Linked DNA regions of Danio rerio. The protein of the gene in region 3 interacts with the protein of the main gene of each other region in a pairwise test. Links are inferred from orthologs where the notes say so. Each region holds a gene or a part of one and is shown on either strand. Other genes may lie near its edges.

What was found.
Region 1: the proteins of klhl2 (region 3) and tma16 interact in binary tests that used the Homo sapiens proteins (3 or more experiments, as listed by UniProt). The two-hybrid records come from large-scale screens. The link is inferred for Danio rerio from reciprocal best matches to the Homo sapiens genes KLHL2 and TMA16.
Region 2: the proteins of klhl2 (region 3) and bcam interact in binary tests that used the Homo sapiens proteins (3 or more experiments, as listed by UniProt). The two-hybrid records come from large-scale screens. The link is inferred for Danio rerio from reciprocal best matches to the Homo sapiens genes KLHL2 and BCAM.

The regions. Positions count from the first base shown.
Region 1 is NC_133176.1:21,261,331-21,272,406, forward strand, and holds tma16 (translation machinery-associated protein 16), read right to left. Parts: upstream 5,273-11,076; 5' UTR 5,169-5,272; coding exon 5,166-5,168; intron 5,084-5,165; coding exon 4,974-5,083; intron 4,864-4,973; coding exon 4,826-4,863; intron 4,220-4,825; coding exon 4,135-4,219; intron 4,061-4,134; coding exon 3,912-4,060; intron 2,307-3,911; coding exon 2,264-2,306; intron 2,173-2,263; coding exon 2,016-2,172; 3' UTR 604-2,015; downstream 1-603. UniProt on the Homo sapiens protein: Involved in the biogenesis of the 60S ribosomal subunit in the nucleus.
Region 2 is NC_133191.1:25,330,785-25,341,330, reverse strand, and holds part of bcam (basal cell adhesion molecule isoform 1 precursor), read left to right. Parts: intron 1-360; coding exon 361-543; intron 544-643; coding exon 644-765; intron 766-850; coding exon 851-995; intron 996-3,340; coding exon 3,341-3,453; intron 3,454-4,534; coding exon 4,535-4,676; intron 4,677-10,546. UniProt on the Homo sapiens protein: Transmembrane glycoprotein that functions as both a receptor and an adhesion molecule playing a crucial role in cell adhesion, motility, migration and invasion.
Region 3 is NC_133176.1:22,475,415-22,486,446, reverse strand, and holds the start of klhl2 (kelch-like protein 2), read left to right. Parts: upstream 1-4,607; 5' UTR 4,608-4,905; coding exon 4,906-4,922; intron 4,923-8,802; coding exon 8,803-8,928; intron 8,929-11,032. UniProt on the Homo sapiens protein: Substrate-specific adapter of a BCR (BTB-CUL3-RBX1) E3 ubiquitin ligase complex that mediates the ubiquitination of target proteins, such as NPTXR, WNK1, WNK3 and WNK4, leading most often to their proteasomal degradation.

The DNA.
Region 1 (11,076 bases), about 1.2 Mb from region 3:
GTTTTTATGTAGTGTACATGGCCATCTAGTGCATTTTATTATATAAAAGGTTATCATATATAATCATGTCTCCAGTCTATAATTAGCATAATGACTTTCCTACTATCTGAGCCATTCAGTCTTAAACGACCTTCTCATTTGTAGTCATATAAAGTTGATGCAAAATGTTTATCTGATTGGCAGCCATATTCTATAACCTAAACCTACATATACTTCTTACTATTTAGCCAACAAAAGGGAACATTCCTACACTCATAACCTGTTCTGAAGTGTTCTAGCCATCGTCTCCTGTTCTGTAGATCAGCCTGAACTCTGTGACATCTGAATTTGAGCAGAGGTGAACATGGCAGAAGGTCTTGAGCCAATCCTCTATAGATCTAACCTTTACCACAGCTGTGTTTTCACTCATCTCTGCTGAACTGTCTAATCAGAGTCTCCTTCGAGTGGAATACAGTTAACTTCAGTGAGTCTCTGGAAAATAAACTTAAACCAAAGATACAAGTGTTGACAGACATGCATTCAGTAGATAGCTTGTTGTCTTTTATAATGTGAATACATTTTCATAGTTTTTACTGATCTGAGTAAGCAGCTGACAGGAATTGATTGTTTTGTTTATAGTTTTAAAGTTGGTTTGAATTTGGTAAAGGAGGCACCATCAGTTCATACCCTGCCTGGTTACTGTAGTTTTCATTTCTATGGGTGAAAATGCATTTCAGATAGATATGGCTATTACAGAAAGCATGCTGTCAGGGTTTTTTTCCCCAAAAAGCTGAAACCTATCTGTATTTTACTGCAGCCATTTGATCAAAATAAGCAGTATCATTTGTTGCATTTTATTTTAAGATGTCTTTGATACTTTGTAATACAATTAAGTATTGTGTAATATTAATTAATTAATTACATATACTTAGTAAAGATTTAAAGATAAAAATGTGATTTGGTTTAGGGTGCGTTACATGTAATTATCCTAATTTTCTGTTTTTTTTTACTGTTTAAATAAATAATTAATAATTTACTGTTTTTACCGCAGTAAGTGCCATCTGAAATGTTATTCTAAAATGAGCATTTTTATCCAGTGTCTAGGTTTAATCATTTCACTTTTATTGTTCTTTTGACTGCCTTCAAGTGAAATAACTGAACATAAACACAGGAGGCTAAGAAACATTTCTAATAAATTTATGAGAAAAAAAATTCTTTATAAGAAAAATTTGAGGAGGCTTTTGCATGCACATTTTTTATAAGATTTCAGATTGGCGCTTAGAGGCTTTTGCATATAAATTCTTAGTGTATAAAAAGGACACTGATAAATAAAAATATATTTCAATGTCAAAAAATAAAAAGTAAAACAAACAAAAAAAGATTTCATCTAAAAATAGCTAAACAAATTGATAACTATGGTAACCAGGCTTTGTTTTTCCTCAGTAAAAGTAAAATTAAAGAATTTAGCACTATTATTAATTTTAATGTAATTTTGATTTTTTAAATATGCAGTAATTGAGAAGCTATGTGTTGAAGGGTTTGAATGAGAACATTGTTTGTTTATTTATTGACATGAAAGAGATCTTTTAATATTAAGGTTTGAAGAGGATCATGTTTTACTATGCGATATTCGGAAAGAATTCAGCTGATTTTACATTTTTTGTATTATGTGATTTTCTGCAATGATGATTTGACATATTAAATCCAGTTTTAAAAATGTGTCATAATTAAGTGAGATTCGATCAATGTCAGTTTTCACAACTCAGATGCACAATATAAAAAACTTGCAAAAATCAGCCAGTGCAATAAACTCCATGAATGTTCAGTATTAACCCATTTCAAAGTCTCTGTTTATTTGTGTGTTGATAGCCCTGTGGTACTTGAAGGACTAAGTTTTCTCCTCACGACAAAATGTTTCTGCAAGAGTCTGGTTAAAAAAAAAACACCAGTAGTATAAAACATCGAGCAATGTCTGGCTCTTTCTGTCCTTACACTCAGCATGAAGTCTATTCCTCTACTGTGTACTGCAGTAGATCTCACAGGTCAGAATCAGAGTCCAGAGATTTATCTTCCTCGTTCTCTTCCTCCATGTGTGTATCTTGTGAAACTGTAGACGGTTTGCTGTCGGAGCCTTTGGCTGAAAGCTTTCTCATCTTAATGCAGGGCAGTTTCTTAAGGTCACCGTTCCATTCTCTGTCAAACACATGCTGACTTTTCAGTACTCTGTGCAAGATGTTATTAACAAAAAGAATGATTTTAACAAAATAAACGATGTAGCAACTACCTGAATATCTTCAGATGCTTAGCATTGATGATGTCAGGAATTTCTGTAAAGTGAAAAAGAGTAAAAAAAACAAAACTTTTTTACTATTTAGTGCAGTTTTTCTAAACCTGACCCACAGGGGGTCACAGGAGAGTCTGTGAGGAAGCTTTAAAAAAAATGAATGTAAACGAAACACATAAATAAAGCTGATTAAAATAATAACAATTAATAGTAATTAATAAAATCATTTCATTAAATATTAATAAATATATAAATATAAAATAAAAATAAAATAACCAATAAAAATGATCAAGATGAATTGCAAAAACAAAAATCTAAAACTTCCAAACAACAAACAAATGATTAAAATGAACCTTTAAAAACTGATTAAACTAAATAAAATAATTAAATTGTGTAATAAAATATAAAATCCGTGTTAATGAATAAATTAACATGAGTAGAGGCAAAGTGTAGTAATGTATATTATCGAAATTTAGAAACTAAACATTTTTTAAACAGTATTCATTTTTTACAGCATGAGTGAGGTCTATTTATAAACTAATTTCAAGAGGATCACCTGCTTATGATTGTTCTCAGCTGGTCTCACATCAGCTCATGATTGATTCTCCAATTACATGATTTTTAAACTCACTATAAATAACTAGATTTCCTATTTGAATATCTTTGTCTTGAAGAACCCACCCCTGCTCCCCCTCCTTTCCAGATGGGTGACAGTGATTAGCACTGTTGCCTCACAGCAAGAATGTCTCTGGTTAAGCTGCGGTCACACTGGAGTCTGATTATGCGAAATTGTGTCGTGCGGCGCTGCGAAAAGGGGCAGGAATAAACAAAATTATTAGGCATTAAAAAAGTGAGCGATTGCTCCATGTTTTAAATTACTGTCCAGAGTGGTCATGTTTTGATCCTCGATTGTTCTCACGCAGTCAAGTGATGCGATTTCGCAGGTCAGAAATCACCAAGCTTGAACTTTGCACCGAAGCAACCTGTGAAACTTAGCACATGATACAACCTGTGAAACTTAGCACATGATACCGAGTTTCCGGCCTGATGCATTAGCGTGCGTATGAATGAAAGTCTATGGGAGGAAAAGCCCAGTGTGACCGCAGCTTTAAAGTCTCTTCTAAACTAGTTAACCAGTTAAGTTTAGTTGTTTTCTCCAGGTTCTCCAGTTTCCTCTCACAGTCCAAAAGACACGCAACCCAAAGTAAACTGAAAATACCAAATTGATACCATAGCCAAGCTATTAGTACATCTTTCCTCAGCCATCCTATACCTGTCATTAGCCAGAAATAAGCTGGGGGGAGTTCATCAAGATCTACCTGAGCTCAAACTCGCCTCTCGTCCTCCAAACGGGAGGGAGCCCAGGACTCGAGGATCTCATTAGCTCAGGGCTCTCTCCCAGGACAGCATGCCACACAAGCTTTGTTATTAATCATCAGCTAAATGTTAAAACTTGAAATGAAGTATGATGCATTTTACAATCTAATATAATTATATTTAGGGGTCTGTGGCATAATAAAACACAGTTTTGTTCCTTCTAAATAGTGTCCTAATTATTATGAGAAACATTTTAGTTCAAACATTTTCAACATGGTTATCATGCAATTCTTATTAAAAGGGAACAAATAAAGACATCTAAATTATTTACCAAAGCCATTGCCTTCATACTGAGCTCTCTCTCGCTCTATGGTTTGCTTGATGATGGCCTCTCTAGAGCTGTGCTGGCGACCCTGGCGGCCTTTGATGCTGTTCGCCAGCTCGATCTGCTCCAGTTCCCCATCAAACCGCTGAAGATACCTGAGAAAGTTGTATTTATAAATATTCTTAATATACAACTTTTTATCATATTTAAACCTCGGGATGTGTCATACCTCTCAGTTATTTCACAAGCATCTTGTCTGGTGTATTCTGGCTTGTCAGGGTTCAGCTGGTTTTGGAACCACAACAGTTTTTCACCTGCAGAAAATGAGTGATCAGCAAACAGGTAAATAATACATTAGATGAACTTATGTTCTTATGCTAATGTTCTGCCAATGTTTTCTCCAAGACACAACCAAATGTTCCTCCAGTAATGATAATTGCATATTAGTTCAAAGCTGTCTTTTATAACCTATCTGGTAAGACAAAAATATTATTTAAGCATCTTTTAGACATTTTTTTTCCTGAAATGTATTATTGGAAAGTTAGGCATGTTAAAACATGTTTTAAAACGTCAATAATTAATTGTCTGGAATGATTCTGAGAATGTTCAAAAATAATCAAACTTAATATCTTTTCTAACGTTTACATAACAAACTCAACAACACTAACGAACTGAATGTTTAGAATATTTTGTTTTGTATTCAACAGAAGAAACAAGTCCTTAAAAATTTGGAACCACATGAGAGCAAGTAAATGGTGAGACAATTTTCATTTTTGGGTGACCTAGCCCTTTAATTGAATGTTAGCAAAACACGTTTCCATTAGCTTTGGGAAAATACCAAAGCTAACAGAATGACAAAAACTTTCACATTCATTGCTTCCACAAATACAATACAGAATAATAAATAATGAACTACTCACCAACTAAATTTAAACGCTGGGCCTTTTCACATTTTAACCTAGAGGTGATTATACAAATGCTACATTAACAAAAATAACAGTACTCGGTATAAATTCATTTGCTTTTTAGGGACAAAAAAATAAATCGTGAATTGGAAAAGGCTCTTACTTTTCTTTCCTCTCTTGTTTGATGGCATCTCTGGCCAGATAGGCGGCTTTCCTGCTGTATGGGTGAATAACCTTTTTCTCCACCGGCCCCTTTGGTTTTCTCCCTTTAGGCTGAAATAAGAACGCCAATTAGTAAACGCGACATTTAAATGTATATTCTGATTATGTAGTCGAAAATGAGTTTAAAACTTACCATATTTGTTAATTTAAGTAAACGTCTATCGTTTACACGTGTGACGTATGGGGGGAAGGTTTAAAGGACGGACCGGTTCAACGGTATTTTTGTTCCGTGTCTTACACATTTACCACAAGCCTAGTAGGTCCCTTATAAATCTAAATTCTTTATACACAAGATAAAAAATCTCAGAAAAACTGTAAATAATATATATATGAAATTGTTCTTACTGCTGTTTTCTTTTTTCTTTTTTGCAAAATTACTTTATCAACCTTTCGTTCATATTTATGACCATAACGTTTATTTGTATAACTTTAATGTTTTATGGTAGTTTAAACATTATGGCACGGTTTGACTTTTTATCCATTGTATATTTACTTTGTACATTCAGGTTTTAGGCATTAATCTTATTACTCTTATAAACTAAATAATATATATTAATATAAATTTAAAATAATAAATTAAACAATTATAATACTTATTTACAAAATTGTCCAACTGCAGAACGGTTATCATTTAGTTTTGATACAAACTTTATATTGCTTTTCAAATGTAATTTTGCATCAGTAATCAAAGAACTTGTCAAAAATAAAGCTTTTAATCTACCTAATATTAATTACTTTACTCTTTATAATTTTTATGTTTTACATGAATTATTATTATTATTATTATTATTATTATTATTATTATTATTTCTCGTTTTGCTTTTTATTTAACTTTACTGTATTATTGTATTTATATTCAGAGAGAATACTATCACGATGTAGAAATGATTTAATAATACATAACTATTTACTTAATATATAAATGCCTTAATTTAGTTTACATAAAGCCAAGCATTTTAATATTAATACGTTAAATACCAAATGACTAAACAGCAACGACCAGAAAATCTCTGCAGAGTGTGCGCACGTTCTGCACGTGCCAAGTTGCAACGGCAGTGTGTGAGTGCGCGTCCCCGTCAGCAGAGCGCGCCCGCGGACTTCTGTTTCTGTTTGCGTCGTCGCTCAGCTGGTGCGAATGTCACATGACTTCAGCATGGATCTTTACTAGAAACCTGCGTCTGAACGCTCGTCCCAATGGGGAAACGCGAAGCCCAGATTTTGTGTTGATGAAAAGCAAAGCAACAGCATGCCGACGTTGCTGCAAAAGCTCTTCAGCAAGAGAGCAGTCGGTAACGGTAACGGCAGCGCCCGGGACTGCTCGACGGGAGCGGAGCAGCGGTAAGTAGGACCGTTAGCACGCGCATGTTACTATACCTATGGAGACACAGTCACGCGCTCTGCACACCTGCACGCGCCAGTCTGTAAAAAAGCGCGTGCCAGTCTGAGCGTTTAAATGACAGTGACGAGCTCTCCGCTGCATCCAGCTGTTTATTTCTATGATAAAGAGCAGAGGCTCGTGCAAGTTTATGATCAGCATTTTATTGTGCTATCACTCGCAGGCCGTAGTGTTATTTGATCTGTACGCGCTGAAGAGTCACACGCACGAGCTCTGCGTCTGGTCAGCTGAGTTATGTAACACCTAGATGCAATTATGCTTGCACAATACCTGCGAGTTTTCTCTTGTTTTTTAAGTGTTTAGCCTATGTCTATTTGGCTTCTGTTGTGCTCCATTTTTTTGTCCCTGTATTCTTGTTAGAGTGACTGGAAAAGGGTTTCATGGGAGAGTCAGTAGAAAGAACACTGCTGGTTAATCACGCCAGATTTGTGGTGTCACCTAAATTTGAGGCAAATACCTGTCAAAACACCTTATTCTAAATGTAAATAAAAACAAGTTGCAGTGTTGTTTTTAATATTAAATGGGAGGCTGTTGTTGATGATTAATTATTTAGTTTTTATTTCACATAATAACTAATGTTTATTTATAATGAATTAATGACGTTTTTATTTGTAACTTGAAAGACATCATCTGTCATCTGTAATCTATAGAAAGCAACCGAAAATATGTGTAACTCAAAAATGCATAAATCGTAAATCCAGAGATGAATTTTTTTAACTGGTCTCTTAATTTTTCCATAGCTTTGTGTGATATATAATTTTATTTAACTTTCAAAATAAGGTACATTTACCCAAAAAACAGTCCACTTGATCACTTTTTTTATTAAAATATAGTTTTTCATTTAATTATTTTTTTTTATTTATTCATTTTTTTCAAGTTGGGTAAATGACAGAATAAAAATTTTAAGTGAATTTTCTATTTAACCCTGTTAATAGAAGTGAAAGCTTGGATGTTGGGGAATGAAAAATTGAGAGAGAAGAATGTGAAAAAAAATATATAAATACAATTTTTAGAAATAAAACTAAATATTTGAAAAAAAACTATTATATTGCAAAAAATTGGTATTGATTTATGTGCTAACATACCTGGCTAACATATGCCTTTATTCAGCAATGTGTTTTGATGGACTCTTTCCAAATACATGGTCGTATGACAATCATGCAGTTTCCTAGAAGGAAGTGAACTGACCCTGTTTACCAACTGATAATACAAGAATACTGATTGCAGTGTTAAATAGGTGGTTCAATGTGACGGAAAAGATCAGTAAAGGGATTTCCATCTAATGCAATCACCTCACAATGAACTCCATTGCTCAAATCTGGCCTGTTTGCACAATTAATTTAGGTCCAAACCAAAGAGTTTCAACATAAGAATATAAATGTTCACTTTTACTTGTATAATAATTTGACACAGGAATAAATACAGCTCTCACAAAACAAAGATTTGTTTACGTAAAGCGGCAACAAAGTAAATTTTTAATGTAAATTTTTAAAAGTAAATTCTTTTTTATGCTGCACTGCAACATGTAGCACATTTTAAGTAAACGCAGTGCAGGGCTGCCGGCCAATATTATGACATATATTTTAAACTCATGTTTTTCAGTTCTGTGTTAGAATTACATTAGATTATATGATTTATTTTTGGAATTTGTAAAACTAGTTTAAGTTTTAAATGTTTGCTTTAAATAATGTAAATTGTAGTACTTTAACAACAAAAGTTATTTGAGTTAGTTGCCAAAGAAAGGGATTATTAACAATACCTACAATAACTGATAATTATATAAGTATAACTAATGATTTCTTAAAGCAAAAGGTGTCAGAAAGTTTAACCTGGTGCCATAAAGTCAATCTGCTGCATGTGACTTTAATATAAAATAATCACTCAGGTGGTCAGCTTGTTGCGTTTTATTTGCATGTTGTTATTGTAACAATTTTTATATTCTTTAGGCTATGGATAAAATATAGTAATTTGAATGGTTTAATAAAATGAAAATGATTTTTGGAAATCCCCAAGCACCGACTCCCACTTTGGAAACCACTTCTCAGGTCTGTTTTGAGTTTAACGTTATTAATCTGTTGTACATGCTTTTGTCGATCTCATCTGTTCACATTAATTTTTATTAACATATTTTAAAGCAAGGCATGTATAATAGCAGAATTTGTGCATTAAACTGCATTACCCATGCAGTGTAGACAATTCAACCAATCAGAGAGTCGCAGAGAGCAAAGAGCAGCAAAAGATTTCTTTATATGATGTGACTGACAAAAATGAGCTGGTATGCTATCTGTGTTTATTACATGGTTTGTTGAAATTCTCTATTCTGATTGGCTGGAAGATGTGTCATAAAATCATAATAGAAATAAATGGAGAAGGGTATAACGGAGGTCAGAGCCAGCTCCATGTGGGCTGTACAAACCTGGAGTTTTTATTTATTTAATGTCTTGTACATGACGCGGAGTCCAATATTGTGCTTTATGAATTTCCCCAACCTCACAGTAACCTGATGTATTTTAATAATATCTGCTCCACCTACACCACCTAAACCCAACTTACTTGTGGTTTAAGTCCCTTCCACTTGGAGATCACCCAACCTACTTGCGGTGTAATCCCTCCAGCTTGGAGGTCTCCGGGCTGCAGCGGTACCTACTGTACCTGAATAAATGTGCTTTTCAAACATTAGTTACCATATTACCTCTGTGACAGAGCCTTCATTCCTCTGTGTAATCTTGAGGACACTGACCTGTTCTTCACCAGTCGATGGGAATTAACCAACTCCAAAATATGCTCAAAAATATTTGCGAAAAGGTAGCTTACCGTACGTTCACACCGAAAGCACTGAAAGAGTCAAAGTAGCCGGAAGTTGTTCATTTTTAATGAGAGCCTGTGGCGAGGAGCAGTGCGGCACGTCTTCGCCGGTGTGGGCGTCGAGGAGAGTTGAAGTAAAGTCAACTTTATGGTATCAAGCTATGACGCAGTTCCCCAGCAAGCAATCAGAATGAAGTAGTCCACCGCTTAAGAGAAATTCAGCGAACACAGAACTGTTCCGACCACAGTTGTTCCTAAGGGTCTGATGATTGCGGTTTACCAGATTTTTAATTATTTACAATGTTTTCTGGCAGGAACATACTTTAAATAAGTTACTGATGTGCATTAATGTTATATATATATATATATATTTATCTTTAAAAAAGCAGGAATCCCATGCGACAGTACAAAATAGTATTGATGCTTAAGGATATTTTAGACATATTGGATAATTAATTTGAGCAAAGCCACACCACACACAACTTGATCTTCCATTGTTAAATGAATTTGATAAGAAGTGCGCAACATTTTCATGCTAGAAAGCAAGTTTTATGCAGAAATGTAACTGATATGACATATTGCAACAGCCCCTTTAGGGCTTACTCACACTATGCTATCCGAATCGTGCCCAGGCCCGTTTTCCGGATCGTTTAAGAAGTGTGTGTGCGCTGAATCGGGCTCAGGCACGGTTCACTTGGCCGGCCCTGGCCCGGTTGGAAGAGGTGGGCCAAAGCCCGAAACTGAAAGCGAGACGTAGCTTTAAGGGACTGTTTCATATGGATTTTATTAATCATTCTTACTGTTCAATGAACGCAAACTGCCCTAGATTATTAAAGACGCAAACCCCTCACTGCACGACAGCTGTGCACCTTCAGCAGACCTCCTCATTCCTGCAGCACGAGGGCTTTATGATTGTTTTTAAGTGCCAAAAGTGGCAGATCTGTTCGGCGAAATATCTGTCTGCGTGTCACCGCATCCCTAAGGACTGTTTGGCGAAAATTTGACTGTGTGTCACTGCATAACAAACGACTGAAACAATATGACTAGAGAAATCTCCACTGTGCTTAGCGAGAGTGCTTACAGAACAGCAAAGCATCGATGACGTAAGCGTGCCCAGGCCTGATTGCAGTGTGAGTGCGGGCCGTCAGAGGAGACGGGAGGGGGGACAAGAGTGCTTTGGCCAGGTTCGAGGCAACTGTACATGGAGTGAGTACAGCCTTAAATACAAGATCAATGTAGCGACCTTGAATGCTCTCACCACATTCGGTGTGAATGCACAGTAACACGCGTTACTATGAGCTATTAGATATTCCCGTGTCATTTACACACACACAAACACACAGCCTCTCTTGCTCTTCATCTATGTCTGCCTGTGACTGAGTCAAAGCAGGGATTAGAAAATCTAACATGACATGACTATTGAAAACTCTGTCAAGTACTGTGCAACAAAACTGGTTTTACTTGTATATAAATTAACAAAAGACCATGGATTTTAATTGCACTCTGTTTTTTGTAGCTGGTTGGTTTTGTTTCATGGTTGATGAAGCTTTAGCAAAGATTTTTTTAAAGGAAATAAACTTTCAGTAAAGGTGGCCAGCATAATATATTCTGTTGTCAGTAACTCAATATTATTTGATTAAACAAGCAGTATACGTTTATCAATACAGCTGCCCCCACAAGACGACCCACTTCATGTAAATAATTAAACTCTTTAATAGGCTGCTGCTATTAACAATTGCATAGATGCTTTAAGTTCTTAAAATGATCACTCTCTCTTTGTGTGAGAGTGAAGCGTATGACTGATTGTATATTTGTTGCAACATGCATGCATAGTGTTAGCAAA
Region 2 (10,546 bases), on a different chromosome or scaffold from region 3:
TGAGCTTTAGCTGGGTCAGTTGGTGTTTCTGTGTGAAGTTTGCATGTTCCTTGCGTTCATGTGGGTTTCCACCAGTTGCTCCGGTTTCCCCCACAGTGCAAAGACATGCGGTATAGTTGAATTGGGGAGGCTAAAATGTCTGTAGTTTATGAGTGTGGGGTGGGTTAAGGATGGAATAAGGATGGGTTGCAGCTGGAAGGACATCTGCTGCCTAAAACATATGCTAAAAAAGTTGGCAGTTCATTCCGCTGTGGTGACCCCAGGTTAATTAATAAAGAAACCAATTACATTCCGCTATACTCCACCTAGACTTTTAGATTTCTTACAGTAAAATTAATCTTGTTTCTTTCTCTTTGCCAGAAACATACATGATACATTTTTTGGTGAAGGAAGCCTCAGGCCTGTACACTTTGACCAGCATGCTGTACATGCACCTGACGAAAGCTGATGCTAAATCAGTCTACCACTGCATAGTGGAGTACACCATGCCAGACAACCAGATCAAACAGGAGAGCTCCGATAACTTCAACATCTCATTGCAATGTGAGTTTTACACACAAACACACACACACACACACAATGAAATCTCCACCATTACTGCATATGTACTGTACTGCATATAAACTATTACTCCTCCAATCAGATTCAACAGAAAACGTCTTCTTCAAAGTGAAGAACGAGGGGCCAATCAAAGAGGGCGATGATGTGGTGATGCAGTGTGAGACTGATGGAAACCCTCAGCCACAGTTTGATTTTTTTAAAGGGGTAAGAGACCATACATGCCAAATCACAACCAACTGATCTAGTAATGGTCATTACTCTTACTCATGTTTTCTCGCTCACTCATAAGGAAAAATTGCTGGAAGGATTGGGAGGCACTTTGAAAAAAAAGAGCATCACTCGGGAGGATTCTGGAACTTATAAGTGTGAAGCTATGGATTATGAAGCTGACAGCAAAGTCCAACTTCATAAAACTCTAAACATAAACGTGCACTGTGAGTATGTAAACAAGACATAATAACTAAAATAAAGTATGTGAATAGTTTATTGATTCACAAAGTTTTCCAATACTGGGTTGCGGCTGGAAGGGCATCCGTTGCGTAAAAAGATATGTTGGTATAGTGGGCAGTTCATTCCGCTGTGGCGACCTCTGAAATAGAGACTAAGACAAAGGAAATTTGAAAGAATAAATGATTTCACTATGATCACACTAACATTTACATCTTTTAGAAGAGATAAATACATATTTTGAGAAAATGCTCATGAATTGGAGAAATTACTGTTATTATTATTGCATGGGCTGTACATATATGCTTTGGAAAACAACTGTGGGGATAAATTAAAGAGGATAAATTAAGAGTTCCTATAAAAAAATTCAAGTTCACTGGATTTACAGCATTTATTATTAGTGGTTTTTATTTGAGATGTTAATAATTGCTTAATTCTGTAAAAGTCTGATACCATTCTTTCTAAATTCTAATTGAAATATGGTCATTTAGAGAATTTATTTATTTCAGAGCATTTTATTAAAAAATGCCAGTTTTTTTTTAACTCAGGGCTATTTCACCAAATGAAGATCTAACTAAACTGTTGCATTTCAATGTTCAACTGGTCTTTTAATTTATTCTTTGTAATTATATTTCTTATTTATACTTTCAATCTTTAGTTATTTTAACTTTTGGGAATTCATTTAATTTGTTTTTGTGGTTTTTAATATTAAATTTATTGTATTTCACTTAGCTGCAAATGCTACATTTATATTTTTAGAATGGAAAATACCTGAAATGCAAAAAAAAAAAAAAAAAAAAAAAATATATATATATATATATATATATATATATATATATATATATATATATATATATATATATATATATATATATATATATATATATAATGCTATTATAACTTGTCAAAATATGTTTTTTGTTTGCATTTTTATTGTTTAGCTATTTTGCTATTTCAAGAAGAATTTTCTAAACAAGCAAAACATATTGCCTTGTTTTGAGAAATATTATGCCAATATTAAGTCAGTTTTTCCTTAAAACAAGCAAAATAATCTGCCAATGAGGTAAGCAAAATAATCTTATGTCAAAAGAAAAAACAAGATTATTTTGCTTACCCCATTGGCAAATTATTTTGCTTGTTTTAAGAAAAAACTGACTTAATATTGGCATATTATTTCTCAAAACAAGGCAATATGTTTTGCTTGTCTAAAAAATGCTTCTTGATATAAGAAATTTTAGATATTTAGACTAGAAACAAGACAAAAAATCTAAGCAAGAAAAGCATTTTTTGCAGTGAAAGTATTAGCCATTTAAAGGCTAATAAAATAAATATGACACAGCTATATAACATACTGTACATGGGCATGACACATGCTACATTTAGAGAAAGAAAAAAATTGCCAAAAGTAATAATATTATTCAGAAGATCATAATTCACACATTAAATATTTGCTTTGTATAGTTTTTGTTTTACATTATTCAGGTGATACAAAACACAGATGTTTCGGCACTATGCCTTCCTCAGTGTGTGCCTTCCTGGTCCCACAGTCAATCACATTATGTCATTAGTTAGACAGCCACTCGATAATTAAATATAATCTCATTTTCATTTCAATAAACCACAATCAACTACAAAGGAAATATTTACCTTCGCCTTCAAAACATTATAACACTTGAAAATAGCATATCAATTATTATCACACACTTATTCATGTCTACATCAATGCAAGGAAATTCCGAAAGTTCAGAATAGTAAGAAATACATTTTCATTACATTATTTGTTCAAAATCTATGATTCACAATGTTATAAAAACAAACCGTTAAAGAAACACAGAAATGTCCAATTCCTCATTGATTCCTCTTGTGAATCATGACCTTCTGAATAATATTATTGACTAGATTAACACACCAAAAAAGTTTTTAAAAAATTGTGAGCATGCAGGGCAAACTTCATTACTCAGGCAAAAATAATAAGAAATAAATTTCCAAAACCTATTAATGTGGTTTAGTATTTCTCTGTAATGTAGAACAGTGCTGGAAATAACAGTGTTTCCCTGCCTTAATTACAACTCTAAAAATCTCCAAACAATTTAAATAATGTCATGTGTTTATTAGTCAATAAACTAGTCAACAAAGAAAATCTTTATCTTGACTGTATTAGCTTAGGTATCCAAACACCATGATTTTGTTATAAATGGGACGTATCCATCCTAGGCTCGATACATCAGAAAAGAGTTTTCTGAGAAAATGTCAAACAGCAAAAATTTCACTTAATCAAGATGTTGATTAAAAGATGTGTTTATCTCTATGCATTCTTTTGTTGTGCTATCAGATATCGACATAACAGTGGAACCAGAAGGGCCCTTGGTTGTTTCTAAAGGAGATCATGTGGAGCTTCAGTGTAAGGCCAAGGCTTCTGAAGCTCACACCCTGCAGTGGACAAAGGCAAGTGAAGATAATCTCTTCATTTTTTCCTGCACTCGTTTTTGTTATAATATTATGTTGTTGTTGTTTGTTATTACTCAAATACAATTAAGGTGCTAGTTCATCCAAAAAATCAAAAGTCTGCCATCATTGCAAAACCAGTTTGAGCTTCTTTTTTTCTGAGAGAAGATATTTTGAAGAATGTTGGAAAACCTCATTATTTTCCCCTTATTATAAAGTCAAATCAAATCATTTGTATTTAACACTTTCTACAATGTAAACTAAGTAAAAATAGCATCTACAAAAAAAGAGACAATAATTAATATTACGTATGATGTCAATAATTAAAAATGGAAATGGCAACGAGTGCAGCATGTGATGTCATCATTCACATACAGAAATGTCAAATACGTACTGTATAGCAACAAAATTAAGATAACTTTTTTAATCATATTTTCATATGTAATTGACACTTTTTGCTACTGCTTAAACAACAATGCTTTCTTTTTCCAAATATTTATTTTTTTCATGCACCTCTTGCCTGGGTGAGAGCCCAAGAATTAAATTCATTACCATTCACCATATCTTTATTGCCATTTCAAATCCATTTTAGTTCCTAACGAGACAGAATTTTAGCAGAGAGACAAAAATCTCCAATTTCAGTAAAAATAGCTTGAATTTTATGTAGAACATGAAACAAAAAGTCTTATTGGTTTGGAATAACACAAGCAAATCTGAATTTTCTTTTTCAAAATATTACTTTAAAGTCACGGTTCACCCAAAAATGAAAATTTACTCACTATTTACTCATTCTCAAGTCATTATAAACCTTTATGAGGTTCTTTGTTCCATTGAACACTAAATTAGATATTTTAAAGGAAGGTAAAAACCTGTTACAGGTTTTTAGCTTTCTTCATAATATCTTTATTTGTGTTAAACAGAATTAAAAAAACTCAAACCAGTGAAAACAAGTGAAAAGGGAGGAAATTATGGCAGATTTTTCAGTTTTGAGTAAAAAAATATTTTTATTTGGCTGTATATTTTTTGGTTATACTAAATCTTAGTTGACTCAGTGTCTACGTTGTCTTTCTGTAAACCACAGGACTCGAAGGAGCTGTCAAACACTGGTGTATTTGCTAAGGAGTCTGTGACTCTGGCTGACGGTGGTGTGTACGTGTGTGTCGGAGCTGTACCTTCAGTGCCAGGTCTTCAAAAACAAGTCAACATCACTGTTAACGTCAAAGGTATTGAGTGCATTACCAGACAAATACAGCTTTATTGTGGTTTATCAGTGCAAAGTTTCAATAAATGCTGTCATCAGTGTCATAGCAGCTTGTGTTCAAGTGATAGAGCTAAACTATGGGCTGTCAACAAACAGTCAGTGCTTGTTGTACCAGCTGGTTTTCATTGTGTGGATATTATTGTATGTTTAGATACAGGTAGGAGTTCAATGTCAGAGGAAAATACTTCCTCAATCAAGCGTGCCAATTCTAAAAATACAATTTATGCCACACAGATTGTAAGAATATTAAAAAAATGATCAGGCTGCGCCAACAGACCAGTTGAACTCAATGAGAAAACCCCTATAAAAATCTCCAAACCAAAAATGTATATGACACAAAATTAGTCAAAGATGGTCAAACACCAGTCAAAAGTTTTATTTAAAAAACAATAAAATTGTCAAAATATTAATACATTTTAAGATGTAATTTATTCCTGTTATACGAAAGAAGGCTGTATAGAAAAATAAATATACCCTGCAGTCAAAGGACATCTATGTCATATTGACATTGTACCCCAACATCTTGGGGACATTTGATTTTTGATTTTACCCCCAGCCATGTCACCCTGCAGCCCAAGACCGGTTACTCACTGAAGCTAAGCAGGGCTGAGCCTGGTTAGTACCTGGATGGGAGACCACTAGGGAACACTAGGTTGCTGTTGGAAGTGGTGTTAGTGAGGCCAGCAGGGGGCGCTCAACCTGCAGTCTATGTGAGTCCTAATGCCCCAGTAAAAGTGAAGGGGACACTACACTGTCTGTGGGCGCCGTCTTTCGGATGACATTAAACCGAGGTCCTGACTCTCTGTGGTCATTAAAAATCCCATGGCACTTCTCGTGAAAGAGCAGGGGTTTAACCCCGGTGTCCTGGCCAAAGTCCCCCTATCGGCCCATACGATCATGGCCTCCCAATCATCCCCATCCACCGAATTGGCTCTTTCACTGTCTCTCCACTCCACCAATAGCTGGTGTGTGGTGAGCGCACTGGCGCTGTTGTCCTGTGGCTGCCGTCGCATCATCCAAGTGGATGCTGCACACTGGTGGTGGTGTGGAGACACCCCACATGATTGTGAAGCGCTTTGGGTGTATGGCCATACACAATAAATGCGCTATATAAATACATTACATTGTTTGGAAATGAAAATTGGGTTTACATCAGTACCCAACGTCAGGTCGACATCAATGTCCAACGTCCATCGTAAAATTAACCAAATATTAGCATCTAATCATGTTACACCTTGACGTTGTGTGGACGATAGCACTATGACATCTATCAGACATTGGGATTTGGTCACTTTCCATTCCAACCTGAAATCAACCAAATATTAATGTAATTTGGTTTGGTTATTGGACCTCAAAAATCCTTATAGATATTAAATTTTGGTCACCTGACGTCATGACCTAAATCTAACCTAATGTTAACGTCTTATGATGTTGTGTGCCTGCTGCATAATTTTACGTCAATATATGGAATTGATTCAATTTCAAGGATTCATATTTAGCTGTTAATTTACATATATGTGACCGTGGACCACAAAACTATCAGGGTTAACTTTTGGAAAATGAGATTTAAAGAGCCCATATTATGGGTTTTTGAAAATTCCCCTCCATGTAGTGTGTAACACAGCTCTAAGTGAAGTGAAGTATCCAGCTAAGGCTTAAATCTGTAAGAATACAGTGTTTAAAACTGTTGATTCATCTATAAAAGAGTCGAATCATAGTGCTTCAAACGAGTCGCCTTGATACCGACTCATTAGGTGTTTCGCCATGACGTACGAACGAAACAAAGTTTTTCACGTGCACGCGCAAACCCGGGAGATTTCAAACCTGAGGCCCCGCCCTCTGACGCAGTAACCCAGACACACACACACACACACCCACAAACACACGCACACCCACAAACACACGCACACAAACATGCCGGTCGATTGAAGTCACACTGCAGATGGATATATTGAGTCTCTACCCAAAGATGAAACATCAGCATTATAACCAAGCAGTTGGAAACTTCTGGAAGCTACATGCTACAAAGAATACTTCATCTGAGTTTGTTAAAGGAAGGATCAGTAAAGAGTAACTGATGGACGTCAGGATGGGTTTCTTCCTACATTTCTCAAGTGTAAGTACGTGCGGTTAAAGTTGTTTCCTCGTTTACTCTAGCTTGCAAATGTATTTAGTTGTGATTTGTTACTTGTAACCGCGTGTACTGTATCAGGTTAACTGGATATATTATCTTATCGCGTGCAAAGTCACGTTAAAAACGCGACGCGTGCTGTTTGTTTATGGAGCTCCGTGCTAGAGTTCTGCTCCCGCGATTTATTCGGAAATGTATTCCCGCGCCGCAGAAATCTGGCGCGGGGAGAGAGAGAGAGAGAGAGAGAGAGAGAGAGAGAGAGAGAGAGAGCGAGAGAGAGAGCGAACGAACGAACGAGCTTTGTGTACTTTGTGCTGTGTGTATGTGTTTATACAGACATCTTGGCTGTCTGGACTGTATACTGGGTGATATTTGGTTGTGTTCTCCGCTCTAGCGGGACCGGGCGCGGCGGGCAGAAAACGGAGCGGGTTCTCAGGCTAAAACCTGGCGGGTGCGGGCTGAAGCGGGAGCGTTGTCATCCGGAGGTGTGTGTGTGTTTTTGTGTGTGTGTGGTATGGCGAGTACACGACTGTCTCCTTCGTTAGGTTATCCGTGGCACTATCCACTCGCCATAGTGTGGCAGCTAAAGTCAACGCCTACACTATCGAGCGTGTATGAACTGTGATTACTTTTTAAATTGCTGATTAGCTATTGGCCATTTCCCTCTCTGACTGAAGGCAGTCGACCAATCGCGACAGACTGTCATCGGCCCAATCAGCGCAGATTAGCTCCGCGCTAAGGAGGGGTTTGGGAACAAATGAATCACTGGACGATTCATACAGGAGTCGCTGGGATAATTAGATAAAAATAAATGCAGATTATAAGACCATGAAAGTGTTTTTTGACCTTGCATGCATATTAGACTGTTGTTGGAGACCCTTACAACCAAGATATGACCTTATTTCATGTATAATATGGGCTCTTTAAATATCATCTAAAAGCTGAAAAACTAGAAATTTTCATATTACTAATCCAAAATTACTCTTAGATAGGTTTGTTGAATGATATTTGCTAAATGTTTTCAATGAAGAAGATCTCTACTTAAGAGACTAATTATTTTTGGCATAAAATGAAAATCAATCATTTTAACCCATACAGTTTATTTTTGGCTATTCCCAAAACTTACCCCTGCAATATAAGACTTGTTTGTGATCCAGGTTCACTTATGTTTTTACTTTAAAGGGTACCTATGGTGTTTGGACAGAAACATGTTTGAGTATAGTGTATAGGAGGTCAAATTGGAGGTCAAATCGGGGTGATATAAACAGTCCTTTTTTTAAAATTTAATATTGTGTCCGTCCTGGGTATGTGTGTGTGTGTCTGTGTGTGTTTGTGTGTGTGCGCGTGAACTTTGTAATGACATTGTATGTGACTCATCGTTGTAACTTAACACTGCAAATGCATCAAATACTCATTGGTTAAGATTTTACTGTAGTATTTCTCACAAACACCACATGTGATCTGCTTCCTTTATGTGTGTTTGATTCATAATACATCTGTAAAAAGGGGTAACCTAGGTGCCCTTTAAATGATTAAATGTAAAGAAAATATACTAGCATATATATTACATTTGAGTTTGGATCAATTTTCAACAACCATTATTCCAGCCTTCAGATCCTTCAATTTCCAAAATCCATGATCAATTGTATGTATCCAAGATGAATCAAATGAATATTAACAAAGGTTTTGAACATAATGTGTATGTTCATAAAAATGCTTATCTCCTCATAAACTAGCTAAATGAGTTTCCTTGCAGTAAACAAACTCACCAACTAAATAGCATCATTAACATTCTCATTTACAGTTTAATATGATAAATAACTATTTGCTTATGCTGTACAAATGTAATTTGAACACCTTAAACTCAAGGTCTAAACAAACTAATTTCCATACTGTAATTAAACCACTCTTGTGTTTCTTTAACTTGGAAATACATTAATTCTGCTAAGAATTACTGAAAGAGATCAAATGAGACAGTTGAAGAAGAGAGTATCTCACTTTTTAAATCCTCATTGGCTTTGGCTTCACATCAAATGTTTTGATTAATCTGAAAGCAGTTTGATTTCATTCAAGGCAATTTCCTTAAACTCCTGAGATATTTCCAAGGCCACTAACAATGTGAGCAGTCACTGTTAAACTAATTCCTGTATTAATACTTGAATCCAGGCTGCTAAAGAGTGTTATCCTGCAGCTTGTTGCACTGTAACACTCAATGACATCTCATTGACATATCTTATGTGTGCAATCAAGAAAACTGTCATTTTAGTTGATTTCCTGGTTTTGCTCTATATGTCTACATTTACAGTATTCATGAGTGTAGTTCACACCTTTTCCTGGTTTCCTAAAGTTCCCCCTGGTTCTGAGCACATGGATTATGATACATTTTTATACTGAATATTGCAGTGATTATAAATGATGTATCCAAATTAATAAAAATATTGTACTATTCTCAGCTGATGCATTTTCTGAAGGAAACCAATGTATTTACATGATTCGAATTTGCATTGTAGCGAAAAATGGACCTGGAAACTGGAAATGCTGCAAAATTAGAATGAACTTCTATTTCCTTTCTTTGTCCTATAAATATGAATGAAAGTCAAAAGAGTCAAAGGAACTAAAAGTTTAGTCTGACCACACTTTAAAGTCAGCATGTAATTGAAGTTTTTTTTTCTCATATTGTGAAATATTTTTAAGTGAAAAAGCTTTTGGTAAAGATCTGATGTAGGACGGGATTTGATTTCATCCTTCAGTTTGGATCTTAAGAAATGCCATTACTAACTACACAGACAATTGTGGAATATTTATAGAGCCCCACTTTCCTCGAAGTGGAAAGGGAGGTTAATAGTTTAATAACAATTATGATTAGTGCACCTTTTATGATTTTTTTTTAAAGGTGCACTGATAAATCACCTGTATACTTAAAGGCACAGTATTTTGGGAGCAACAAAAGCAGTGGAGCTTTTATTATGCCACAGTGGGCCGCTTCTTGTTTTTTAGTCATGGAAGAAGCAGTGCTTTTTTTATCATTCTAAATACACTGTACAGTCTAATTAAACATATTAAAACGTCCTTGTTGTTTCCTTGTTTTCCAGAAAACCCAACCAGATTTTGAAGATTTGTGATATGATTAGCATGCCCACACAATACATGGCCCATGTCACTTGTCACTAGTTAAAATGACCTACAGTTGAATTCAGAATTATTACCCCCCCTAAATTGTTAGCTACCCCCCACCCCCCGGTTATTGTTTTCCCCAATTTCTGTTCAACGGAGAGAATATTTTTTAACACATTTCTAAACATAATAGTTTTCATAAACCATTTTTAAGCACTCATTTATTTTATCTTTGCATGATGACAGTAAATAATATTTTACTAGATAATTTTAAGACACTTTTATACAGCCTAAAGTGACTCAACTTGATTAATTATGTTAATTAGGCAGGTTAGGGTAATTAGGCAAGTGGTTGTTTGGTTTGTTTGTTGTTTTTTATTTTGGCTAGAATAAAAGCAGTTTACATTTAAAATAATAATAATAATACTAAGTCCACTGTTATACAATGACTTGACTAATTATTATAACTTAATCTAATGAACCTAGTTAAGCCTTTAAATTGCACTTTAAGCTGATTACAAATATCTTGAAAATATCTAGAACTGTCATGATGGCAAAGATAAAACAAATGAATTATTAGAAAATAA
Region 3 (11,032 bases):
ACACACACCACACACAATATGTACAAAAACCACAACCCCAAACACACACACCACACACACACACACAAACACACACACCATGCACACACCGCACACACACACACCGCACACACACACACAACACACACACATCATACACCCCACACACACACAACACACACACCACTCACACAAACACCACACACACACGCACACACAATATACACTCACACAAACACACACACACACACAACACAAACCACACACAACACACACACCACTCACACACCCCACACAACCACCACACCACACACACACACACACAAACACACAACACACACCCCACACACACGCACCACTCAAACACACATACACACACACCACACCACACACACACAAACACACACCACACACACACACATATACCACACACACACCACACACACACATAAACACACACCACACACACACACACAAACACCACAAACACACACAAACACCGACCACAAACACACACACACCACGCACACACAACACACGCACACACACACATACACACACACGCACACACAACGCATACACGCACTCACCACACACACACACACACGCGCACGCACACACACAATATAAACTCAATCAAACACACACGCACACACCACACACACACACCACACACAATATACACAAGAACCACACACACACTCACACAAACACACACAACACACACACACAAACACACACACACACACCACACATACACACACGCGCACACACCACTCACACACACACACACACACACACACACACACACACACACACACACACACACACACACACACACACACACACACACACACACACACACACACACACACACACACACACACACACACACACGCGCGCGCGCGCGCGCGCGCGCACAAACACACGCTGTCATGAAGCTATGAAGGTAATTCAGTTGCGAAACTTGAGAGCTTGCAAATGTAAATGTGAGCACTTGTGATAATAATATTTGTATGTGTAGGTTGAAATGTACACTTACAGCTCTGATGTGAACAGCTGAAATCCTCGATTTGCACACACACACAACAATCCACACACTTGTGTTTTGAATTCGAAGTTGCAGATTAATAGTTGTGTATTTGTAAAATGTCATTCACAAATACAAAGTGACAGACACACGTGTGCACGGCAAATTTGATTGCATCTTCGCTCTACAACCACAGGTCGGCACTCACAACCTCTCAGATTCGTCAGTACAACTACAAATCTCCCGCGCTCTGACTTTTGCTACACATCTCCCGCGATCTCTGTAGCAGAACTCATCTGTGCACTCGCAGATGCAGAGGCGTGAGCAGCGCGGGGCGGGGGAGGGGCGGGGCTGGTGTAAAGCTGTTTGATTGGCTGATGCCTGACCAATGAACAATGCCAGCAGCCAACAGGACTGAGGTGCAAAAGAATCATTTCCCACGATTATTTTATTATTTAGGGTTTATTTCAACTCTTTTCTGAAGAGATTTTTGTTAAAAATCATAAATTCTGTGGAAATGTACATACCAGTAAAAGAGCAGCAAAGCCAGTTTATTGGCTACAGCCAGCCAATGAGATGGGGCGTTTCTGTTTGTCAGCACACAGGGCAGCTCACGTTGTTGGAGGCCTCGAGCAATCAGAGGGTAAGTTATGATTTTTAATAATTATCTATATGTTCAATACTGTTAGCTAAGCTAAGGACTGTGCTGGGTGCTTCTCTTGTTTGTTTTTTATATAAGAAACAGTTATGAGTTATCTAGGAGCTGCTTTCAATCATGTTATATGGTTCTAAAGATACGATTCAACCCACATGAAATAAGAAGTTGTAATAGTATTTATAGTAAATAATATTACGTTTTTGAACCATACTAACTATAGTAAACTGTATTATACAGTATATATTGCAGTATCTACAACTTTGTTAATGAATGCAACAGCACACTGTAGTATTAACTAGCATGAACTGTAATAAATTGAAGTATATTTACACACACACACACACACACACACACACACACACACACACACACACACACACACACACACACACACACACACACACACACACACACACACACATTAATAGCAATTAAAAATAACACTAGGCGTTTCAGTTTCTTACAGATCATACCGGTTTTTGTTATTATAACCTGCATCATGTCTATCTATCCATCTATCTATTTACATGTTTGTGTACAGTGTGTCCTTTATATCACTTTTTTAATTATGAAAGTTACTAACTATAGGTTATTTCTCAGTTTCCTGTAAGGATGAAGTGACAGGAGAGATCAGCGTGTTTCAAGTCAATGAGGAACTCAGAGAAGCTGCATAGCTTGAATAGGATGTTATTTATGCTAAAGATGACATGATGATCCAGCTCATCTACAAACACTTCAAAATGATTCAGATCGTTCAAGAGGAAGCCGACTTTATTTTCTCTTTTTACCTGCCAAGATGACTACAGATTTGAACAAAACACACACTCACCCACACACACAACTTTTATTTTGATAATTGTTTAATGTAGTATTTTTACACTTTACTGTAAAGCAGGGGTGTCAAACTCAGTTCCTGAAGGCCCGTAACCCTGCAAGTTTTTAGTTGAAACCCTGCTTCAACACACTTAAGTGAAAGTTTTAAACAAACCTGAAGGACTCAATTAGTTTGATCAGGTGTGTTTAATTAGGGTTAGAACTAAACTTTGCAAAGCTGCAGCCCTCCAGGAACTTGGAGGAGTTTGCCCTCCAGGAGTTTGACACCTGTTCTGTAAGAGAATGTAATTTGTCAAATAAAATTTACAGTCCAAATAAGTGCAGTGCAAATGTCTAGTTACTTGTATTGAAATATTTCAGGGTTTTTCCTTGTTCATAATGAGATGGAGGTGGTAAATCCAACTTCATCATTACCCATCAAATGTTATCTCCTCTTTAATACTTTGCTCAAGCCTTTACTAAAGGTCAGAAAGCAAGCCATTGTGTAAAGCTGGTTGATGCTCGCTGTAATAGAGAGAGATGATGACTGTTCAGCTTATGTTGCTTAACCCTGCAGATGAGATGCTCAAAGTGGACCCTCAGCCAAGCGATGGACACTGTCTCCCTCACCTAGTTGCTCTTCCTTTGAACACACATATCATGTTGAAGGATGCAAGTTGTGGACCTAAATCAGATGTAATGCATGTAGATGTAAAAATTAGAAAGAAATGAAACTGCTTTAAAATGTATTAGGTTTTACATATAAATACATGTTTTTAACAGATTTGTTTCAACTTGATATTTGCATAATAAATGGCATTAGAATGTTTAGTTTTAAACAGATAGCTATATTTCAATTTTTTCAAGTTTAAGCTATATATATATATATATATATATATATATATATATATATATATATATATATATATATATATATATATATACATATATATATACATACATACATACAAGTATACTTCAATTTATTACAGTTCATGCTAGTTAATACTACAGTGTGCTGTTGCATTCATTAACAAAGTTGTAGATACTGCAATATATACTGTTTAATACAGTTTACTATAGTTAGTATGGTTCAAAAACGTAATATTATTTACTATAAATACTATTACAACTTCTTATTTCATGTGGGTTGAATCGTATCTTTAGAACCATATAACATGATTGAAAGCAGCTCCTAGATAACTCATAACTGTTTCTTATATAAAAAACAAACAAGAGAAGCACCCAGCACAGTCCTTAGCTTAGCTAACAGTATTGAACATATAGATAATTATTAAAAATCATAACTTACCCTCTGATTGCTCGAGGCCTCCAACAACGTGAGCTGCCCTGTGTGCTGACAAACAGAAACGCCCCATCTCATTGGCTGGCTGTAGCCAATAAACTGGCTTTGCTGCTCTTTTACTGGTATGTACATTTCCACAGAATTTATGATTTTTAACAAAAATCTCTTCAGAAAAGAGTTGTTAAAACCCTAAATAATAAAATAATCGTGGGAAATGATTATTTTGCACCTCAGTCCTGTTGGCTGCTGGCATTGTTCATTGGTCAGGCATCAGCCAATCAAACAGCTTTACACCAGCCCCGCCCCTCCCCCGCCCCACGCTGCTCACGCCTCTGCATCTGCGAGTGCACAGATGAGTTCTGCTACAGAGATCGCGGGAGATGTGTAGCAAAAGTCAGAGCGCGGGAGATTTGTAGTTGTACTGACGAATCTGAGAGGTTGTGAGTGCCGACCTGTGGTTGTAGAGCGAAGATGCAGTCAAATTTGCCGTGCACACGTGTGTCTGTCACTTTGTATTTGTGAATGACATTTTACAAATACACAACTATTAATCTGCAACTTCGAATTTAAAACACAAGTGTGTGGATTGTTGTGTGTGTGTGCAAATCGAGGATTTCAGCTGTTCACATCAGAGCTGTAAGTGTACATTTCAACCTACACATACAAATATTATTATTACAAGTGCTCACATTTACATTTGCAAGCTCTCGAGTTTCGCAACTGAATTACCTTCATATGAAGCGGTCTGTCATGTGGTCTTCCAGCAGCAGTGGTCGCTGTGGCGCCGCACTTGGTTTTGCTCTCCGCCGAAGGAGAGTGTCAGTCTTTCCTTCACTCTTGTTTTTGTATGTGAGCTGTAGCGTCTCCGTTTCTGGATGTGTCCTGTCTTCTTCACCCACACAGCGGACCTGTCTGTCGCTCATTACCCGGACACGTCAGTCACACCGACACCTTCTCTGCGGACCACCTTCACCCTCCTCCGCGGAGCTGGACCCGCACACCGGGACTCAGCACAGCCCGGTTTGGCTTGGTTCGGTGGACGGGACACAGCGGGGATTTAAACGACAGAGTCCGGCCAGAGATGGAGAGACGCAGACTGATGTGAACAAGACCAGCGCTATGGAGATACATCCACTGTAAGAGCTCCGTGTGTGTGTGTGTATGTGTGTGTGTGTGTGTGTGTGTGTGTGTGTGTGTGTGTGTGTGTGTGAGCTGCATGTGTTCACACTACTGTAATGTCAATATAGAGTAAATCAGTTCAGCCATGAGATCACATGATCACGTCTTTGTCCACACACCACCAACACTCTTTCTGTCACATGTTCAGCAATTCACATATGTCACATTTGATAACTGCCATATGGCCACTGTAGAGATAAGACATTGTGTGTGTGTGTGTGTGTGTGTGTGTGTGTGGTCCAGGTAAACCTTGCATTGTGGTGGCCAAATGTTTTCACAAGGAAAGTCATTTTTGCTTTGTGGTGACTTTTTTTTTAGTCGTCTGCTTGTAATTATGCAGTTTTAGGTATGTAAACATGTAGAAGATCAATTAATAATGTATATTAATGATAACTGTTAGCCCATTAGCATAATTTTTGTGTTGACAATTAACTGCCAACTGTGCCAAGCAAATAAATGAATGATTAAAACCATTCTTTAAAAATAATTTTTCTTTTTCGCTTAGTCCCTTCATTAATCAAGGGTCGCCACAGTGGAATGAACCGCCAACTTATCCACCACGTTTTAGGCAGCAGATGCCCTTCCAGCCACAACCCAACACTGGGAAACACCCATACACTCTTGCAAACACTCACATACACTACGGCCAATTTAGCTTATTCAATTCACCCTCTACCGCATGTCTTTGGACTGTGGGGGAAACCGGAGCACTCGTCAACATGGGGAGAAGATGCAAACCCCACACAGAAATGCCAACCGACCCAACCAAGGCTTAAACCAGTGACCTTCTTGCTATGAGGCGATTGTGCTACCCACTGTGCCACCGTGCAGCCCTGATTAAAAAAAATAATGAGCAATTCCATGCAAATGTCAACCTTGCCATGAAAAAAATTAAGTTTTCACCAAAATAGAGAAACCGTTTGTACAGTTTTTGTGTGAGCAAGTATTTTACAGTACTTTAAAAGTTCATAAATGTATCTTTCAGTGTTTCAAACTATTATATTTAATTTACCAAAATCACACAAGTGGCAATTTCACAACTGTAACATCCATAATGGAAATGTGTCACATCCATAACGACACTTTTTCCTCATAAATGCAAAAATGTCAAATAAAATAAAATCATTAATTTTTGTTCTATAGTGAGCCGACTCATATCTGTTTGTTTCTTTTGGGTTGTGCAGTTTAATTCACAGATTTTCTACAAAGTATGTTGTATACTGTAAACTCGCAAACTTTTCTTTGTCACATCCATAATGCATGTTTATTTTCCTTATTTAAAGTATAAAAAATGTTTACAGATTGATATTTTTCTGATCCCATAACTTTGTGGCTAGTTGTTTTGGAAAATATAAACAGATGTGTCAACATAATGTTAATGTATACTTTCTATGTGAATTTATGTTTTGAGTTTTAACTGCAAGTGTCACATACATAATGCTGGAATTGCTCATATATATATATGTATATATATATATATATATATATATATATATATATATATATATATATATATATATATATATATATATATTTTTTTTTATTTATTTATTTATTTATTTTTATTTATTTATTTATTTTTTTAACTGTACAAACTGTACAGTGTATTTTCACAGTATGTCGGATTTTTTTTTCTTCTGGAGAAAGTCTTATTTGTTTTATTTCGGCTAGAATAAAAGCAGTTTTTAATTTTTTAGAACCCATTTTGAGGTCAATATTATTAGCCCCTTAAGCTATATATTTTTTGATAGTCTACTGAACAAACCATTGTTAACCTGCCTAGTTAACCTAATTACCCTAGTTAAGCCTTTAAATGTGACTTTAGAAGTGTCTTAAAAAATATCTAGTCAAATATGTGTACTGCCATCATGACAAAGTTAAAATAAATCCATTATTAGAAATGAGTTATCAAAACTATAATGTTTAGAAATGTGCTGAAGCAATCTTCTTTCCGTTAAACAAAAATTGGCTGAAAAATAAACGGGGCTAGTAATTCGGGTGCTAATATTTTCGACATCAACTGTATATTGTCATTATCTGTGGAAAATGTGTATGCATGTTTCCCAGTACTGGGTTTCAGCTGGAAGGGCATCTGGGGACATTCTAAATTGCTTAATGTGAAAAAAGCTTATCATGGCTTAATGTACATAAACATCAACCAGAGAAACCCAAATTTCTGTCAAACTTTACTTTGACAGAAATTTGGGTTTCTCTGGTTGATGTTTAGGTTCATTGAGCCATGAAAAGCTTTTTTCACATTAGGCGATTTAGAATGTCCCAGCATACGCTGTTCAACACACATGCTGCACAAGTTGCCGGTTCACTCCGCTGTGGCGACCCCTGATGAATAGAGGGACTAAGCCGAAGGAAAATGAATGAATGAAGTATCTGTGTAAAATGTATGGAGTAGGACTATTTACTTAGTACAGGGGTTGGCAAACTCGGTCCTGGAGGGCCGGTGTCCTGCATAGTTTAGTTCCAACACTAGTCAAACACACCTGAAGATGCCAATCAGTGTCTTCAAAAACACTAGAAATCTATAAGCAGGTGTGTTTGATTAGAGTTGGATCTAAACTGTGCAGGACACCGGCCCTCCAGGACCACTCCTGATTCATTATGATGTGAAAGTTAAAGTAATACTCAATATTTGTTTAGGCTTTTAAATTTTCTTTATTTGAATTAACACTGCACTATATCACCGCTATTTCAAATAAATGTTATTATGTCAAATAACCAAATAAATTATTAATAATTTATAAAATTATGATGTTTGTATGAATTATAAATTATAATAACTATGAAAAATGCCCGCCATATCACCCTGCATTCCAAAACCGGTTACTCACTGAAGCTAAGCAGGGCTGAGCCTGGTCAGTACCTGGATGGGAGACCACATGGGAAAACTAGGTTACTGATAGAAGCGGTGTTAGCGAGGCCAGCAGGGGGTACTCAACCTGCAGTCTGTGTGAGTCCTAATGCCCCAGTGTAGTGAAGGGGACACTATACTGTCAGTGAGCACCATCTTTTGGATGAGACGTTTAACCGAGGTCCTGACTCTCTGTGGTCATTAAAAATCCCATGGCACTTCTTGCAAAGAGTAGGGGTGTAACCCCAGTGTCCTGGCCAATGATCCATCATGGCCTCCCAATCATCCCTATTCACTGAATTGGCTCGATGACTGTCTCTTCACTCCACCAATAGCTGGTGTGTGGTGAGCGCACTGGTGTCGTTGCCCTGTGGCTGCCGTTGCATCATCCAAGTGGATGCTGCATACTGATGGTGGTGTGGAAAGACCTTTGGGTGTATGGCCATACACGATAAATGCGTTTTATATATATATATATATATATATATATATATATATATATATATATATATATATATATATATATATATATATATATATATATATATATATATATACACACACACTATACAATACATTACATTAAATGGATACTATGTCAAAAAATAAAACACAGTACAATTATTTTACAAAAATATGAGTGTAAATATTATATATATTAATTAATTCTTGATCATGTTTAATTATTAAATCATGTTAGTCAACTATGCCTTTTTAAATAATACAACCTATATGTAATTGCCTAAATCAGCATAAACTATCCACTACATGACCACTACATCTGTAATATTTATTACCCTGATTAATATTACATAAAAATACAAACTTATCTTGAAATGTTACTATTCCATATATATATAAACAGGAATAGATCCTATGGCCATCTTTGAATATCTTCTCATATGCCGAAGCATTGAAATCAGATATGAATGTCTATTTTATATATACATGAACATATATTTGTATTTCAGTTGCACTAAGCTTTGCCATCATAAAGCTGTGGAGCTGAAGGATGATGTGTATGAGAAACAGAGTGCAGTCACCATCAATCCACGACACATGAAGAAAGCCTTCAGGATCATGAACGAGCTCCGCAGGTGTGTGTGCGTGCGTGCGATATTTGGGATGATATGTTTCACTTTATTTAGAACTTAATGTAAAATATATGCGCAATATCACACTTGTAGAGTGCGATATGGCTGTATATTGGCACGGGTCGGAGGCGTGCGTTGGCCGAGTGCCTTAGTGTTTTGCTTACTTTTTTTGTAGTAAAACATTTTGCGCAGACCGAGTGTCTTAGTGTCTCACCAGTGATGATTAAGGGTGTCACGATCCTCCAAGTCCTCGATTCAATTACATTTTCGATTCTAAAGTCACGGTTCGATTCGACTTTCGATTAAAAAAATAAAAATTAAACAAAATCAGAAACAAATCATACAGTAAATGAATAATAAGTTACACACATAATTACCACTTGTCAATAACTTTTTTCGTGAACTCATAAATAGGCAGTGATCTGTGTCCTTATAATGGCGTCGGTAAAAAAGGTGCACAACCAACAGGAACCAGCCAACAGTATCTGAGGTGTTCGCTAAAATTACTTAGTACAAGTGTGAAAGTGAAAGATTGAAGTAGTCTACTGACACGCTGACTGCCTGTACCCGCTTTCTCGAGCACATAACAGTGTGTGTGTGCATCTGTGTGTGAGCCTGTGTGTGTGGTCTTGTGATGTGCGTTTTCAGCGGTAGTGAGGAAGGAGGGCTGCTTAGTAATGCAAAACGCCAGTGTAGATGTGGATCGTTGTCGTTATAAAATGACATTTATAAACTAAGACCTATTAGTGTAAACAGGGCCTGAGTGTGTATTTTTCGCGAGCGGATTTGCAACGGGGGCGGAGTGGAGGATCGCGATGCCTGCATTTTTCTAACGGCCCAACCTTAATACTTACATAGCAGAGCTTGCAAATTGTCGACGGGTCTCCTGCGTCTGCAGTTCAACAAGCACTTCAACAACCTTTTTTCCGCTTGGCAAGCCAAGCTGACATGACATGTGGGCGTGGCAGCATCAACGATTCCATTTTTTGATTCGATAATCGAAATTGAGCATGAATTTCGATTGATTTAGATTTAAAACCGAAATCGTGACACCCTTAGTGACGAAATACAGCCACGTCGCACTGCTACAAGTGTGATATTGTGTTTATGCAACAATTCGATTCCATAATCATGTATATAAAAAGAAAATCAAACACAGAGAATCTAAAAATCCTTTTGTACAAGGAACTGCTTTCCTTTGCCTTCCATTCACATCTGCAGCTGACGTCAAAACAGCAGAATCCGTTGCTACTTTACAAACCTTACTTTAGAGCCAATATTTGAATAATTCTCTAGCGTGATGTCTACAGTGAAGACAAAACAGGTAATTTTGCCCACATTTTAAGATTATATGCTATCAGCCTACAGAGATTTCCCAGTATTTCTCTGTTGCAGTCGGGAGATCACAATAATAAACCTCGAAAAAAGCTAAAGCAAAGCAAACACTACCAGATTACTATGGTATAAATACAGCGCTACAACTTACAAAAGAGAGAGATCGACTTAGAATGCCACTTACCTGTTTAGTAATGATTTGACTAGCTGAAATATTAAAAGAAAACGCTGAGTTTTTCTCCTCTAAGGACTTATTATGCAGTCTTTGTTACCATCTTGTGGCGCAACTGTCTTTACTCTGCTCAGTATGACTGAGTTCTGTGGACTTTCTCATGATTCTGTCTCCATTCCCAGAATGTTGTAATTTTGTATAAATTCTGAAAATTTATTACCGTAAACAATGTATATTGGGACGCTACAAAAATAATGATAGAGCATACATTGCATCCGGAAAGTATTCCTAGCGCTTCACTTTTTTCCACAATTTTTATGTTACAGCCTTATTCCAAAAAAGATTAAATTCATTTTTTTCCTCAAAATTCTACACACAATAGAAGAATTTGTTGCAAATTTATTAAAAATAAAAAATGTAACTATATATGGAGTATGGTGTGTGTTTGTGTGCAGGGTGGAAATTATACATTGACAATGGGGTTCAAGTTATATTCGGTAATATGCCTCCGTAAACCAACATTATATATTTAATTCATATTCATCTAATTTATTGATCTAACTTGTTATGTTTTCAGTGTTTTGAGGGATAATAAGTGGT